Linked DNA regions of Drosophila melanogaster. Changing the gene in region 3 together with the main gene of any one other region gives a genetic interaction. Each region holds a gene or a part of one and is shown on either strand. Other genes may lie near its edges.

Region 1 (5,695 bases), on a different chromosome or scaffold from region 3:
CTGGCCAGGAATAGCAAATCCAAGCATTGGCAGCAAGAGGCAAAGCAAAGGTGCACGGCAGACATAGGCAGTACCACAAGAACACTATCACAGAATTAAGCAGAGCAAATTAAAGATGCATAGCGTGTATTAAGATGTACGAAATAATGTTCCAAAGTTAACCAGCCTACACAATCCCCAACAACACACACACACACACACATAAAGACGGTCGGAGTCGAATCCTTGATCGAACCACATAAGAAAAAATTCCAATGAGTTTGTATGAGCAACATACAAAGCCCCAAACGCAAACCATCAGCCACTCAAGACGAGACGAGAACGCAACCAAAACTCAAATATAACTTTCCTGCACTCATCTCCAGTTCACGAAACAATCTTCGCTCTTGGTGGATTGCGAATTGTAAATGAATTGAGTAACTGCACGGATGCAAAGCCCCAAGATGTGGCGACTATTCCGGCCGGACACTGTGAGACGGACGTTACACACACGGATATATAGAGAGACGAACCTTATGACAACAGACAGAAGACGCTTGCTCTGAATAGATGGTTAATTTGTAGACTTATAAGGAACGTCGACAGCGAGGGTTCGTTCGCGTCACTTGCTTTTTACTACATTATAAATAAATTATTGATGTACTACCAACAAACCAAGAACAAGAACACCACACTATACAAACACCTATATATTAGATAATATATATGAATGATGTATAAATACCCGAACTTCGGGTAAACTTCCAACAGAAACCCGACAAGAAGATGGCTGAATATGAAATAAACTTGAAATTTTCCAACCAGCATACCCGTGAGACCCAGAGGTCCGAAATTTTTTTTTTTTAGTATTGATAATCTCTAAACGTAAATCCTAGTCTCGTAGCAATATCATAGTTAAGGTGACTTTTTTTTCAGAATAAACTTAAAGCACGAAAGAAATACATGTATTTAAACCTTAAATCCTAAAGTTTATAATAAACGAACACAAATTGAATTCTTGAGTCTGCGAGCGAGATGGTGCGATGCAGCCTCAGCGAAAGAGAGCGAGAGAGATGATACAGATTTGAGGTACAGTCAGCACAGTACAGTGCGGATCAGAGCTTAAGTTGACGATATACTATTGTTGTAAATTGATGTTAGGCTAAGCAAATAAATAGTTAAAATGTTCAATTTTCGCTTAGCTGAATCCTGATCGTCGTAAAAACGCATTTACACGAACATTATATACTAGTCATTAAGCGGTTCTATTTGACAGGTGAAAACAAGAAGCTGTGGCAGCCTTTTACTACAGAAACTAAAAAAGAAAAATACAAAGCTTGACATATACACGCATATTTGTGAACAAACTGAATTTTACCATACATCTTTGAGAATTTTAGGACAGTATTCTTGATAATCTATATTGAATGTTGATCTACACTTAACGTTGCACAAAAGAGGTATCTTTCTGACCTTCTATGCGCGTGGAGTGGATCCAAAAAATCAACTTGGTGTAATAAATGTGTATTTAAATCACAAAACGGGCATCTTTTCCCTTTCAATTGGACATCAGAGAGTTTCGACAACGCACACCTACTAGTTTTTTTGCGAGCTTAACTATTTCAAATGTGGTTGAGTAAAGCCATTAATATTGCTTTTTATAAATTCAGCATAAGTGGCAAGATGGTTTTAAATTGCGCGCCACTGCGGAACTACCTGGCATCACTGGCCGCCACTTATCGATAGCCACTGGAAGGCGAGAGAGAGAGAGAAAGAGAGGGCGCGAATCAGCTGCTGGAACGAGTGTTGTTGGAAGGCAGTGTTGTTGGAAGTGGCAGCGCCTTCCAATGTCAATTAAATAAGCAAAACGCGAAGAAAACCCAAGCGTAAAGGAGAGTCTCGTTGCCGCGCTCGAATAGAAATCCAGGAAATCAGTATCAATTCAACCGCCCTTGACACATCCACAACCACTTTGACATCCGAATCCGTATCCGGGCGAGGTGGCACGGCTGGCAGGAAGAACGTAACGTGAGTGGCTGCTCTATTCTATTCTATTCTGTTGATTCAGCGGAGTACACTACGCAATAACCGATAACGACCTTACCACCGCTCCCCTCTCCGCGCCCATCCGCAGCGGAGCAGTGGAGCACCCCCAGTCCAACAAGGAGCTACCTGCTCGAGATGCCCCAGATGAGGGCTGCGGCCGCTGAGGCGGTGGCCGCCGGCAGCGCCAATGGCCAGCCGCTGGTCAAGATTGGGCACTACCTACTGGGCGCAACCCTGGGAACGGGAACCTTCGGCAAGGTGAAGATCGGCGAGCACCAGATCACACGCGTCAAGGTGGCCGTCAAGATACTCAATCGTCAGAAGATCAAAAGCCTGGACGTCGTGGGCAAGATCCGGCGTGAGATCCAGAACCTAAAGCTCTTCCGCCATCCGCACATCATCAAGTTGTACCAGGTGAGTTCATGGCTCCAAGCTTAGACTTTCTAAGTCCAAGCTTTCCAGGAAACTGGGTTACTGGTTTCCTCTTCCAATTACGCTGGCCAGCTACTAATAACAAACAATCAAGCCGCAGTTTAATAAACAAAAAGGCAGGATATGCCCGAAGGGGGAATAGCTTTTCTATAACAACATTTTGGAGGTTTGTTTATCTATAAAGTACACGGTCATGCCTAGTCATCCGAATTTTGTTGCGGAAGGCAAATGCATATCTAGAAACTGGGCCACTGGCTAGACATTCGCAACAGACATAGAAGCCCAACTTAAATGAGCAAAAAGTTTGGAAGGAAAGTTTATAAAAGGAATATGTACGGGGTCTGCTTTGGTTTTACAAGCACATTTTCCCTCGATTTTCGGATTGGATCAGTTACCAATTAGGTTAGGCAGGGCTTGGGGGAACCTAGGGACGGCTGCAGTCATCAGCTGATATAAACGTGCTTGCTAACCTTTCCGTAACTCTCCGAAGGTCATATCGACGCCGTCGGACATCTTCATGATCATGGAGTACGTGAGCGGCGGGGAGCTGTTCGACTATATTGTGAAGCACGGCAAGCTGCAGGAGCACCAAGCGCGCCGCTTTTTTCAGCAGATTATCTCTGGCGTGGACTATTGCCACCGGCACATGATCGTGCATCGAGACCTGAAGCCAGAGAACCTGCTGCTCGACCACAACATGCACGTGAAGATCGCCGACTTTGGGCTCTCGAACATGATGCTGGACGGCGAGTTCCTGCGCACCTCGTGCGGCTCGCCCAACTACGCGGCGCCCGAGGTGATTTCCGGCAAGCTGTACGCCGGTCCCGAGGTGGACATCTGGTCGTGCGGCGTCATCCTGTACGCCCTGCTGTGCGGGACGCTGCCCTTTGACGACGAGCATGTGCCTACGCTGTTTCGCAAGATCAAGTCGGGCATTTTCCCCATTCCCGAGTACCTCAACAAACAAGTGGTCAATCTGGTCTGTCAGATGCTGCAAGTGGACCCGCTCAAGCGGGCCAACATCGAGGAAATCAAGAAGCACGAGTGGTTCCAAAAGGACCTCCCGGCCTACCTCTTCCCCTCGTCCATCGAGCAGGACTCCAATGTGATCGACACCTACGCTGTGGCAGAGGTCTGCACCAAGTTCGGCGTCAAGGAGACCGAGGTGCACAACTCGCTGCTCAGCGGCGATCCGCACGATCAGCTGGCCATCGCTTACCATCTGATCATCGACAACAAACGCTTCGCCGACGACGCGGCCAACCAAATAAACGAGATCAACAACTTCTTTGTGGCCGGCTCTCCACCACCGCCGCCGCCTCCGCCCGTTCCCCAATCATCGATGGACCACCAAGCCCCTCTGGCCACCGTGACCGTTGGCGGAGGTACCTCAGCCAGCTCGGGCACCGCCACACCAGTGCCACCAGTGGCTGGAGGCACGCCTAGCAGCACCATACCCATTCGACCGCATCCGGAGCGGATTGCGCCGATGCGGGACCGTCAACTGGCCATGTCCGTGCAGACATCTGGCGGCGGAGCCTTCCCGGAGAAAACCGCACGTGGCGGCACTCCCATCAAGCGCGCCAAGTGGCATCTGGGCATCCGGTCGCAGAGCAAGCCCAACGACATAATGCTCGAGGTATACCGAGCGATGAAGGCACTCAGCTACGAGTGGAAGATCATCAATCCGTACCACGTTCGGGTGCGCAGGCAGAACGTGAAGACCGGCAAGTTCTCGAAGATGTCACTGCAGCTGTACCAGGTGGACGCCAAGAGCTATCTGCTCGACTTCAAGTCGCTGACCAACGACGAGGTCGAGCAGGGCGACGACGTCATCATGGAGAGCCTTACTCCGCCGCCGCTTAGCGTGTCCGGGGTGATGCCGCTGCAGCCGACCGGCCACCACACCATGGAGTTTTTCGAAATGTGCGCCGCCCTGATCATTCAACTGGCTCGCTAAGGATGAGGTGACCGCCATCGGCCGCAGCGGACCGGATGGGATCTTCTCGGCTGGCGATCCGCACTCGGACAGTCCTGAGGATTGACCATTACCCGGAAGACACAGTCCCACAAAGGAAAGCTGGGGGGAGTTTCGGGCTCCGCGGATCCCGGAGTCTGGCCTTAACCACATGACTAAGTTCTTGCATTCGTCCCAAACCCTTTTGATTTTAATCGGAAACCCAATGTGCAATTATCGGTAGCAGGATTTGGGAATAGATTTTAAAAATGGCCTGCTACTAGACGACGAACAAGAGCTTGGGACTCCGACTCCAGCTTTTCTTTGTGCGGCTGTGTAATCCACATAAAATGTTATTGAACTCGGACACCGCCAACCGCCGTTGCCGCTACGCTACCGTTACCCGCTTTGCCGTATCGATTTCCGCTTCCGGTTAGTCTAAGTCTGTAGGTTCCGCCCGGTCGGCGGGCTTCGATCCGTTTCTGTTCTGTTCTGTTTCTATTTCGATTTATGTTTATAAGCAAGTTGAGTTATTATCCAAACCGCATGTGCACGTGGATGTATTTGTATTATGCCTAACGAATTGTAATTGGAACCTCGTCTGGGGAAGCTGTCAGATAACAACCAGATGTGGACCAAGTTTTATGTATCTGTATCTGAACCAACCAAACAATAAAGCGATCCATTAATATTCTAAATCGATTGTGGACGAAGTGTGAATTAAGAGTAGCCATAATTAAAGTTAGTTTTATTGCATATTAAGGTATGTTGTGCACATTCTTTCAGCATCGATGATTGCAAATTCTGCCTCGGCATTGGGCTTCATATCGCAGTTCCAGTCTCCCGTTTCGTGTGTAAAATCATAGCATCCCTGATCTAATCCACCTGTGCATCGCATCGCCGCTCCAGCTCACTACTGCTTCTGCTGTTGCTTCCGCTTCAGTTTGTCGATTAGGGTCTCGATGCTGTTGGCGTCGACCAGACCAATGAACTTGTCCACTACGACGCCGTTCCTGAAGGCCAGAACAGCGGGCACGGCCTTCACCTCGAAGGTCTCGACGAGATCCAGGTTCGTCTCCACATCGATGACCGCCAGGTCGATCTCGTTCGAGTTCTCAAGCAGCTCGAGCATCTTGGGCGTGAGTATCTTACAGGGGTCGCACCACTCGGCGTGGAAGTTCACGATCACCGGGTTGTCGCTGTTGATCACCTGCGGAACAAGGCATAATACATAGGTGGTGGTTGAACAGACTTTAAAATTGGAGTGCTTTGCTCGGAACT
Region 2 (3,824 bases), on a different chromosome or scaffold from region 3:
TCCATAAGATTCAGCTCCAGACGCGCCCGTACGCTCGAGTCCCTAGCGTCGTTGTATGAGGTAATGTGCCCTGACCTATCCTTAATTACAGTGTCGTATAAATTGTGCTCAACTCAATCATCCGCTTGGCGCACCTAGGCCACCCTAGTAGCCCTGTTAGATCTCTGCCTGAATACCCAAACATTGCTTAACACATTCGCTTTCTATGACTTTTCCGAACAGGACGACGACCTTGTCGCCACCGTCGAGGAGAGCAGCTTCGTCCAGCGCAAGTATGAGAAATACTTCGACATGGTCATCGTGAACGAGGACTTCGATGAGACGTTCCGCCAGGTGGTGGAAACGCTGGATCAGATGAGCCACGAGGAGCAGTGGGTGCCTGTCAACTGGATCTACTAGAATCCCATGACCCTTTGCAATTGCGCCTTTATGCATATTGAAGAATATATACTATAAAAATCGAATGCCTATCATCACAATTAAAGGGATAATTCCAGTAATTGAAGCTTAAACTCGCAACACAATACAAATTTAGCGAAGAGCATTTAAAACGCTAGCGATTTCAATATTTATTGTTGATTAGACGTGTTTTGCTTGAGGAATGTAATGCGTTTTATTAACTATGTTTATCTCAATTACTGTCATTTTCCTCTTTAAATATAAATCATGTATATATGCAATGTTTGTATAAGTTGAAATGCGCCCTCCGTTTACAATTCAGTTTTCCTTAAGTATAAGCCTAATTTTACGAAACGAATTCGTCCATTTTACCATCTCTTGTTTTATTTTTACAAATAATGAATGATGTCAACGCATATCTCTTCAGTTTATTATTTTAACGAATCTCCTCAGTACAACAACCTTCTGCCAATATTTTCGTGTAGTTTTTAGATTTGTTTGAATAAAATGTGTAAGTTTAACGAACTAGTTAAATGTATTGATGTGGAGTTAAACAAACGAAATACGAATAAATTTGGCTCAAAGAAATGGTGAATTTTGTTTACCTCTAGCTGGTCGCACCAAAATATATTTTATTTGCTGATCTTAAGAGTGTCTTAGAGTTTAAAGGCTGAATGCCAGGCATTTAGCAACTTCATTTGCAGGGACTTATTGGTAAATTCCCAGAGATTTCTCCACCACAGCGTGGGGCTGACGCATATGCTCGCTGTTCTCGGGCAAGTTCATGAAGTCCTCGAAGCCAATGGAATCACAGCGGCCAGTCAGGACATCGTCCATGAAGTTGCTGCAATATAAAGGAAAGAATTAATATAGAAGATAAGTAGTCATTGCTGGGTTTTCGGTAATAATGGTACTATGGGAATCACAGGTATACTTGGTATACACGTATGTATGTATGTACGTATATAGGTATCCATTATTAGGCAAGAAGTTTAGATTTTCTAGATTGTAGGATATCTCAGGTTTCTCCGGGATTCTTATAATGTGGAAACAGAAGATTTCTGAATGCTTCCGCCCTTGCAGAGATTCCTGTCCAGACTGAGAAGCTCCCAGACCGGGCTAGATGCTCACCTGGACGAAAGGAAGGGCAGGCGGCCCACCTGACGTGCGGCGAAGCGCTCCATGCCCATCTTGAGGGGCACGCCGAGGCCCTCGTGGTTGCGCAGCATCTGCATGTTGCGGTTGTACTGGTGCTCGTTGTAGTTCAGCTCCGAGTCGCGCAGCCGGTGGACGTGGGCCAGTTGGTTCAGGCAGTTGGCCTCGGTGGGCATTCCCACACGGCCGGTGGCGTTCAGCACGGACACCTCGGCGGGCTGGACTTTCAGTGATGGCTGATACTGTATTGCGAGGGGTTTTCGTTTCGTTAGCGGCTCTACTAAATGCACTCGGCGAGGTACTTACCATATTCGTAAGCGCTTTTAGAATAAAAATGCGGCGAATTATAATTGTTTCTTGAATGACAAACAAATTCCGTGCGAATTAGAGCTGGTACTTGTGTCGATGCCTACTCGATATCGACGATAATTGACAAGATAATCGAATAGAAAGCAACTTATCGACTAGAATAGAATCCAGTAGTGTAGAAACCAGACTGGCAACTCTTTACATGTGTAGAAATCAGGATGGCAGCTCCAGACAATGCTAACATGGATTCAATCCATTTTGACCCACATAAATTTTAGCTCGGTTTCAAACCATTGCAGGGTACAAAAATGCGGCATGTCCGACAAGTGAATTTCGATTTGAAATTATGAACTCCAAATTTTCCAATCCAATTTGATTATTTAAACAAAATATTTCTATATATATAGCAACAACGCAGCACTATTTGAAATACACTTTAATTGTAATCGTGTTGATGGGTAAAAGTCGGTCTATGCAAATTGGCGTTATTAGCGCACTTAACACTTCGGTCAAGTGACGAACTTGAGTGTTGTGATTAATTACACCCTCGCTGGCCAGCAACGCACATCCGAAATATACAAACGTATCGATCTCGGCCGCAGCTCTAATCAATTCGATCAACAAAAGAACTGAATCCGCTGGCTGGCTGGCCGGGGTTTTGTTTTTCTTTTCACCCACACCTTTTAGCGGCTTTTATGATCTTCTGCTCCACAGAGACGCGATTCATTTGCATCGAGTGACAAACGCGAACGAATGCGAATGCGAGGAGACCAAATCACACGACAGGGCTTAATTAGTGCATGGTCACTAATAAAGATTCGGCCAGTGGATGTTGTGTTAATCAAACTCCCGCACACAATAGCCCAAACTGTCTCCGGCCAACCGATCCGATCCTATCCAATCTGAACTTGAAAATCCAAATGGAAACATCAACCGGATGGATGGATCTTCACCTTCACTTTAGACTAAAAGGTAGTACGTAAATTATGATTTATGCCCATTTACTGAATTTTACAGTGCGAAAAAAGCGAACTACATTCCTGCTTTGTAATTTACAACTTTAATCATTTTAATATTGGTATGGATGAGCATTGCAATACAAAGTCAAATAGTTTATAGCATGTATAGCTATAGTATTGATACAAAAACGTATTAGATAATTTAAAAGATCAGCCCTATTTTTAATGAATGAATTCTATATTAAGAAACTGACAAAATGATAAGTAAATTTAATCAGCAGACAATTCGAGAATTTACAATAAGAATATCGCAACGGGCATATTTATGGCGTCGAGTTGATAAAAATATCGTTAGTTTTTATTACTTTGAGATGCGATTCTTTCGGATGCAACTTATGGTGATTTAATCTATAAGTCTATAAATAAATTAAGTTAGAATAAACACAAATTACTCGCATCGATTTTAGCTTACTAGCATCGTTCCTTTGACTTATTTGTTAATACAATCATTTCAGTTCCCTGTGAATTTTGCCGCTTGAAGAGTTCAAAAGAACTCATACCACGATTGATTTATAACGTTTACTTTCTGTTTTACTGCCTTTGACCAATTAATACACAGTAGACCAGTACGAGGCGAATCAACCAATTCAGTCAGTCCAATATATGGCCATAAGGATGGCCAAGAGCCAACTATGTATGGTCGAATGGAGATGGAGATCTCAGGGCGAGAAGATCGATATGTAAAAGTCAAATAAAAATATAACGTCGAGAATTAACATTTTTTCACAGCAATAAATGCATAAAAGTCGAAGATGTGTATTCAAAAAAGAGAAGAGTCGTGGGTTCAACTAGGGGACTCTTCAGATGAGGGAATTCCTTTTAAAACAGCTTGATTGGGCTGATATTTCTCTTCTATTTTATACGCACTCAGAGAAATTAATGGGTAAAAGCAAGAGATTCCAAAAGATGATCAATAGATGATTTCTTTAAATTGAAGTACAA
Region 3 (6,837 bases):
TTGCCTTGCCTTTCTGGTACTGTTCGACTGCCTTGGCCTGGTTGGCGATAGCCAGCTGGCACAGGTTCTCGATCTCGTCCGGACTGCAGATTTGCTGCAGGCTGTGCAGTTCGATTAGCTGTGATGGGAAGATAATGTGTGTAATCTCATAAATTTGGAATATTAGGCGAAGCTTACCTCACTGACTTTCGCTTTGGGGTTATTATGAAGCAGATCAACCAGCTGACGTGCTGCCTGGAGATTTATCAGCTCGGCATGCAAGCTCATTAATATATCTTTCAAATCATCAGCCTTAATGGAGCTACATTAGGATGAACACAATAAATTAGTAAAATTCATTAGGTATGTTACTCCCTATTATTACCAATCCTCCACATCTAAGTTCAATTTGTTGCAATAGGTCAACAAATCGTTTATAAGAAAATTGCAAATGACTTTGTTGGGCAAATCACTTAAACTACGGGTAATGCTCAAGAAATGATCCAGCAGAATAGGTTCGTTCTGAAATAAAATCGAGGAGTGTTGCAATTTCAAATTTTTTGTTGACTCAAAAAGGATCAGAGCACGCACCACTAAAATGATGGCAGTTTCCGCATTCAGGTTGTGCTGCTCCACCAAACGTTGCCTGGTGTCCTCTGGTAATTCTGGAATTTCCTCGCTTAGAGCAGCCACTGAAAGTAAATCCTCTGTTGACATTGATCCAGGCTTTAGGTTTACATGAAGGGGTGGTAGATTCGGCTCCGGCATGAATCTGTAGTCCTGCAGCACCTCTTTGTCACGCATGGCCACTGTGCGCCGGTTCTCCGCATCCCAGTTGCGAGTCTCATTTGTAATTACACCGCCATTAGCCACAGTTTCTAGCTGTCTATTAATTTCATACGTAATTGCTTGCGAAATGCTTCGAACCGAGCCAATGTTTTTTACTTCGGTGCGGACTCCCAAGGGATCGCCTTCTTGGTGAATGGATATGTTGGCATCCACACGCAGGGCGCCCTCTACAATAAAAAATACTCGGTTTAAAAAAAGGCACACAAATCCCTTTTGACTCACCTTCCATTTTACAACTGCATGTCTGCAGACGCCTTAGTATCAGTATTAATTCCTTGACCAGCGATGCCGCTTCTTCGCCCGTTTCTAAATCTGGTGCAAAAACCAGCTCCATTAGAGGAAGTCCAGCACGATTAAGGTCAACCAGGCTCCTTTTGAGATAATCATCGTGCAGAGATTTACCACTATCCTGTTCCAATTGCAACTGCAGTAGTTTGGCGGTCTTGTAGTAAACTTTTTTGCCTGGTGTTATCACGGGGAAAGTCATTTTTCCATCATTGGCCAAAGCGGCGCGCTGCTGCGTGATTTGGTAGCCATTCTGGGGAGGAGAAGTTTATTACTTATAAGGCTTAGCGTGGTGTAAACTGAAATTTGAATCTTACAGGCAAATCTGCATAGAAGTAGTGCTTGCGGTCAAACATGGACACTTCGTTCACCCGACATCCCAAAGCAAGTGATGTCTTAATGCCGGATTCCACACATTTTCTGTTGAGAACCTAAAAGCAGAGGATACAATGTAATGATGGCGTCTTAAGTGAGAGTACCTATTCTCACTGGCAATGTTCCCGGTATGGAGGCATCAAAATACGCCACCGAAGAGTTAAGTGGTGCTCCAAAGGATGTGCCACTGCCGGAAAACAGTTTGGACGCACTGGCAATCTGTGCGTGCACCTCCAAACCCACAACGCTTTTCCATTTCCTGAAATTCAGAGCGTTGGAATGAATCCTTATAATATTAATTCACATAATTACCTTTTGGGAACGTTGGCTAGCTTTGGCGCCGTTACCAGTTTTCGGATTATTGAGTAATGCATTATTTTACATCGATTATAACATTCGCACCGGAATTGGCAAAAAGTTGCGCCAAAACAGCTGATGTTGTTTTGATTGCGGCCAAAGCTGCCGGACATTCGCCAGCGGCGTTGCCAGACAAAACCATCGATTGGCTGGCGATAACAGCGCAAGAGGAATATCACAAAAAAATAACCTTTTCATTTTCAAGACAAACATGTAAAAAAATATGAGTTTAGCAGAGGTAAGCATTTTAAATGTGCACTCCACAACCGAAACAATAGTGCAGTGCATCGAACGCAGTGGGAATTTCAATGCCAACCCTTGTTCTCCAGTTCACAGCGACCAAGACGAGAAAAAGCACACGCAGCTCTGCAAAAGACAACCACGACGACGAGTGAGTGGAGTAGAAGGACCAGGAGCGGAGTAGCAGGAGCAGGAACAGTCGACCGAGGGCGGGCGGAAAAATCAATCATAGCGACAGGAAACCAATAAAGCCGCCGTCATGGTGATTGAGAAGATCATTGGTGACCTGGAGTCCAACATGACGCTGGAGAACGAGGAGGCCAAGCGCAAGCTTGTGGAGTTGCTATCCCAGAGTGAGTCCTCGCCAGTTTCAGTTAATATGCCACCTATTCCAACATACCATTTCCCCACAGACAAGGAGCAGTGGGTGGTAAAGTTCATGCTGGACTACTTCTTTACAACTGGATCTCAGCGCATTTTGGAGGTACTGGTCAAAGCCCAGGCACCTCACGATGGGTACATCTTTGACAAGCTGGACGACTGCCTAAAGCAGTCGCAGCACCGAGTGCAGAGCCTCCAGGTGTTCTGCTTCATTGTGCGCCATCACCCTACTTGGCTGTACAAGATCGAGAAACACCGGCTGATCAAAAGTGTTTTTAAGCTTATGACGGTGAGTTTATGGGTGTTTACAATTTTGTCCGAGTTCAGCATCACTTCCATTTCTCTGACAGCACGAGAAGGAGATAGTTCCGCTGATGAGCGCCCTGTTGTGCATAATTACTCTGCTGCCGATCATACCGAATTCTGTGCCCAACTTTCTTAACGATCTGTTTGAGGTGTTCGGGCATTTGGCCTCGTGGAAGCTGCAGAATAGCAATAAACTGCCGGACGAGAAGCTCGTCCACCTGCAGTTGGGTCTACAGATGCTATTTCACCGCCTGTACGGCATGTATCCGTGCAGCTTTATTGCCTATTTAGTGGAGTTCATCAAGCGAGGCAACGGCGGGGGCATCTTCCAGCATACAATCAAGCCGCTGTTGAACACTGTGCGAGTGCATCCCATGCTGGTGACGGCCACGCCAGAGACTGAGGTAAACAATACGCGATGGAAGGAGATGGAGCCGCATGACGTGGTTATGGAGTGCGCCAACCTATCGCTGCCCGTCCTCTTGCCCGAGACGAGCAACGAAGACGGCAGCTATGCGTATCCCATGACGCCAGGATACAGTCGCATGACTTCAAATACCTCGAATACGGACTACAGCTATCAGCTGAGGGAGTTTCAGCAATCGAGAAATGTCTACACCCGCTTCGATTCGTTTGCCTCGGGTGATGATGTGGGTCCGATCTGGAGTCCGCATAACGAGATTGCCACGACCAGTAGCGGCATACCGCTTACACCCACCACATCGTTTATTTTGCCACTACAACCGGCTATGAACTCTCAGCTTATGGTTGGCATGACTGGCTCCTCACCGCCCGAAGCAGCTGTGGAGGCCACACCGGAAACCACCCCCTTAAAGGATATGAGGGATATCAAGCAGCCGGGACGTGCGGTCAATTCGCATGCTGTGAGAGCTATCTTCGCCGTAAGCCAGCCTTCTTCACCCATGCGCAAGGACCAGCAGAGTCAGTTCAGTTTCCCGGATGTCTCTCGCGAGGCGGAGGAGAGCAGCCACTCATATCTGGAGGTCAACAGAGGAACTGCCTATGACCGTCGCCTGTCGCAGGTCATCCAGGACAGGCATAACGTGGAGCGATCTGTAAACACACCTTGTCCAAGCAGCCTGCCAGAAATTAACTCCGATTTATCCCTTGTTGGTGGTTCCGTCTATCCATCTGTCACGCAGGAGGTCGCTGCAGTTTGTGGCGAGTGCAACGAGACGGATAGGAACCTCTGCAGTGTGGGTGGACTTCATATGCCCACCAGCCGATCCATGCACCAGCTGGCAAAGAAGCGCCGCAATCGTATGGCAAGCTACAGTGGAAATGGTTCCTGTGCGGACAGCAGAAGTTCGGCGGCAAAGAAGGCAAGTTGGAGTACTGAGGCAGAGAACCCAATGCGACGAACCAAATCCTGCTCGGCCCTTTCCGGAATGCGGCAGCAGCATCTGGAGGAGAATGATGACGAGGCCGATTGTTCGAGCCAAAGACAAAGAGGGGAGAATGGAAATACGCAAAAGACTGGCAGCCGCCTGCAGAGGAGCGGCCGGAACCTGGCCATTTCGGCGCCCAAGGATACGGCTAGAAGCTGCACCCATGCCTCCACCCAGACGGTGGAAGGACTGGACAGTGCTCCAGCGCAGTACGAGAATTGGCTTATTGAACTCCTGCTGGAGTGCAAGGAGCAAAGAATCGACTATGAAAGGAACCTTCTGTACCCGCAAGATATTCTAGACGAATACATTAAGCATGCGATCAAGGCCAATGAGTCCTTTGACGCCGAGCAGGGTCAACTGATGTGCCTACAGCTGGAATACGAAAGCTACCGTCGATCCATTCACGCAGAGCGCAATCGACGACTCATGGGGCGAAGCAGGGACAAGCGCAGCCTGGAAATGGAGCGGGATCGGTTAAGGGAGCAGCTTAAGAACTTCGATGCGAAGAACAAGGATCTGGCAAACAAAATGGATCAGGCCATTCGGTTGGCCAACGAGCGCCAGAACATCCACCAGGAGGAGCTGGGCGAAATGAGGGCTAAGTACCAGCACGAACTGGAGGAAAAGAAGTGCCTGCGGCAGGCAAACGATGACCTGCAGACGCGACTCACCAGCGAGTTGGCGCGCCACAAGGAGATGAACTATGAACTGGAGTCTCTGCGAGGTCAGGTCTTCAGTTTGGGAACCGAGCTTCAACACACCCAGCAGCAGGCGGACATTGGGCTGCAGTGCAAGCAGGAGCTGGCACGACTGGAGGCCGAGTTTATTATCATGGGTGAGGTGCAAGTGCGTTGCCGCGACCGTCTGGCTGAGATCGATAACTTCAGGGCCCGCGACGAGGAACTGCAGATGCTACAAGAGAGCAGCAACCTGGAACTGAAGGGTGCCTATTCATTGTTTATATGATACGGATGTTTAATCATTCAGTTTATTTATTAAGATCTGAGGCACAGCCTGGACGAGAAGACATCACAGCTGGAAAGCATGAAGCACAAGATCAGCGACCTGCAGGCCCAGCTAGCCAACAGCGAGAAGGCCATGACGGAGCAAAAGCGACTTCTAAGCACCGTCAAGGATGAGTACGAAGAAAAGTTTAAGGTAGGGCTGATATTTAAAATCGTATACTTATCTGAAATAGTTCGGACTTTTAAGAAATAGTCTGTGTTTACCAGTAACTTCATTTCAATTAAGAGTAATAAGCCTTAAAAATCGTCGTCCTTGCAGTCCGTGAACAAGAAGTATGACGTGCAAAAGAAGATAATTATGCAGATGGAGGAGAAGCTGATGATGATGATGCAGCAGCCGCAAGGAACAACAGGTCATAACACCTGTTCCCCGGACACGGACAGAACTGGTGAGTGCAAGAGCTGCTTCGCAGCTAAAGAATACTTACTATTGCATTCTCCCACAGACATAGCTTCATCCATTGAACGCAACTCACCGCTATCCACGTCGCTGGCCTCGAGCGAGAGCTTATCCGCCAGCCTACGCTCCACGGAGCTGAAGAACCTGCACCAGCTAGTGGACACGCCCACTATTCCGGATGTGCTGAACAGCATGGCCGGTGGCGCTCAGTTCGAGGACGAAGTGCGTCCGCCGGCCGTGGATCTGGCCTCCTCGGCAAGCACCGCCAGTGCCATCAACATCGTGCCGCACGCCTTGGACTTGCCGTCGACCTCCGGCGGCATCGGTCACACGCTCACCCACCCACATCCGCATCCGCACCTGCACCTGCAGCAACAGCAACAGGATCAACTGCAGTAGTAGCAGCAGACGCAGTTTGTAAAAACAAATAAGAACTAGCTTTCCTTCGCTAAACAAATGTCTATTGGGAAAACCCGCACAGAAAATTTACAAAAAAAAGTTATTGGTTCTTCATATTTTCATATTCAGTTCAAAACTGTAACTAAGGTTTAATAAATCGCTGACTCCACGCAATAATTATAAAGGTTATAAAAAATATTAATGTTTGAAATTTTAACTTGTTTAGCACATTGCAATTTGTTGTAAAAAAGTGGTTTTGATACGAGGCAATAAGTAAGACGCGCATTCATATTATAATAAACATTTGATTAAGATCAGCAAACATAAAAGCATTGTTTTATTTTATTTAATTGTAAACATACTATTTGTTATATAACAACCGCCAAACATTTAAATTTTAGCTAAGAGAGCAAACAAAAACGTAAACAAACCGAGCGACATTGCCAGCTGAAAGAAAGTGAGAAGTGTGGCAACCTTAAACGAAACAGCTGAGCGGAAGCAACAATAATATAGAAAGAAGAAGCAGAAAAGAAACGCCTATTAAATCAGATCATTTAAATACGAAAACTTAATAATACATTAAAATGCTATCCCAATACATGGAGGAGTTTGAACAGGTGGGCTCAAAGGTCACGTAGGCCCGATTATGGCTTATATTTATTAATCATAACCAACAGGAACCCTTTGAGGTGGGCGAGTTCATAGAGCGTCTGACTTGGCGCACCAACAATGAACTCCAGAACAGCGAGGACTTTCATCCTGTGGCCCTCCACGATACCTTCATCCAGACCATTAAGGACCTAAAGATCCTGCAGGAGAAGCAACAAAG

What was found. A genetic interaction does not mean that the proteins touch.
Region 1: changes in Tsc1 (region 3) and AMPKalpha are lethal when combined (synthetic lethality), as found in Drosophila melanogaster (one study listed by BioGRID).
Region 2: changes in Tsc1 (region 3) and Pomp are lethal when combined (synthetic lethality), as found in Drosophila melanogaster (one study listed by BioGRID).

What each region holds. Positions count from the first base shown.
Region 1 is NC_004354.4:1,373,749-1,379,443, forward strand, and holds AMPKalpha (AMP-activated protein kinase alpha subunit), read left to right. Parts: upstream 1-1,787; 5' UTR 1,788-2,007; exon of another isoform or gene 2,008-2,121; 5' UTR 2,122-2,160; coding exon 2,161-2,439; intron 2,440-2,947; coding exon 2,948-4,417; 3' UTR 4,418-5,148; downstream 5,149-5,695. Other genes in the region: CG3719 (uncharacterized protein), read right to left, coding at 5,328-5,624.
Region 2 is NT_033779.5:20,785,822-20,789,645, reverse strand, and holds Pomp (pomp), read right to left. Parts: upstream 1,991-3,824; 5' UTR 1,864-1,990; coding exon 1,861-1,863; intron 1,797-1,860; coding exon 1,531-1,796; intron 1,244-1,530; coding exon 1,108-1,243; 3' UTR 548-1,107; downstream 1-547. Other genes in the region: vari (varicose), read left to right, coding at 1-60, 223-399.
Region 3 is NT_033777.3:24,128,322-24,135,158, forward strand, and holds Tsc1 (Tsc1), read left to right. Parts: upstream 1-1,985; 5' UTR 1,986-2,083; intron 2,084-2,174; 5' UTR 2,175-2,344; coding exon 2,345-2,438; intron 2,439-2,498; coding exon 2,499-2,755; intron 2,756-2,816; coding exon 2,817-5,127; intron 5,128-5,184; coding exon 5,185-5,342; intron 5,343-5,468; coding exon 5,469-5,598; intron 5,599-5,655; coding exon 5,656-6,008; 3' UTR 6,009-6,333; downstream 6,334-6,837. Other genes in the region: GatB (Glutamyl-tRNA amidotransferase, subunit B), read right to left, coding at 1-118, 178-301, 365-501, 571-995, 1,051-1,366, 1,431-1,544, 1,603-1,747, 1,801-1,862; Sec10 (secretory 10), read left to right, coding at 6,593-6,625, 6,686-6,837.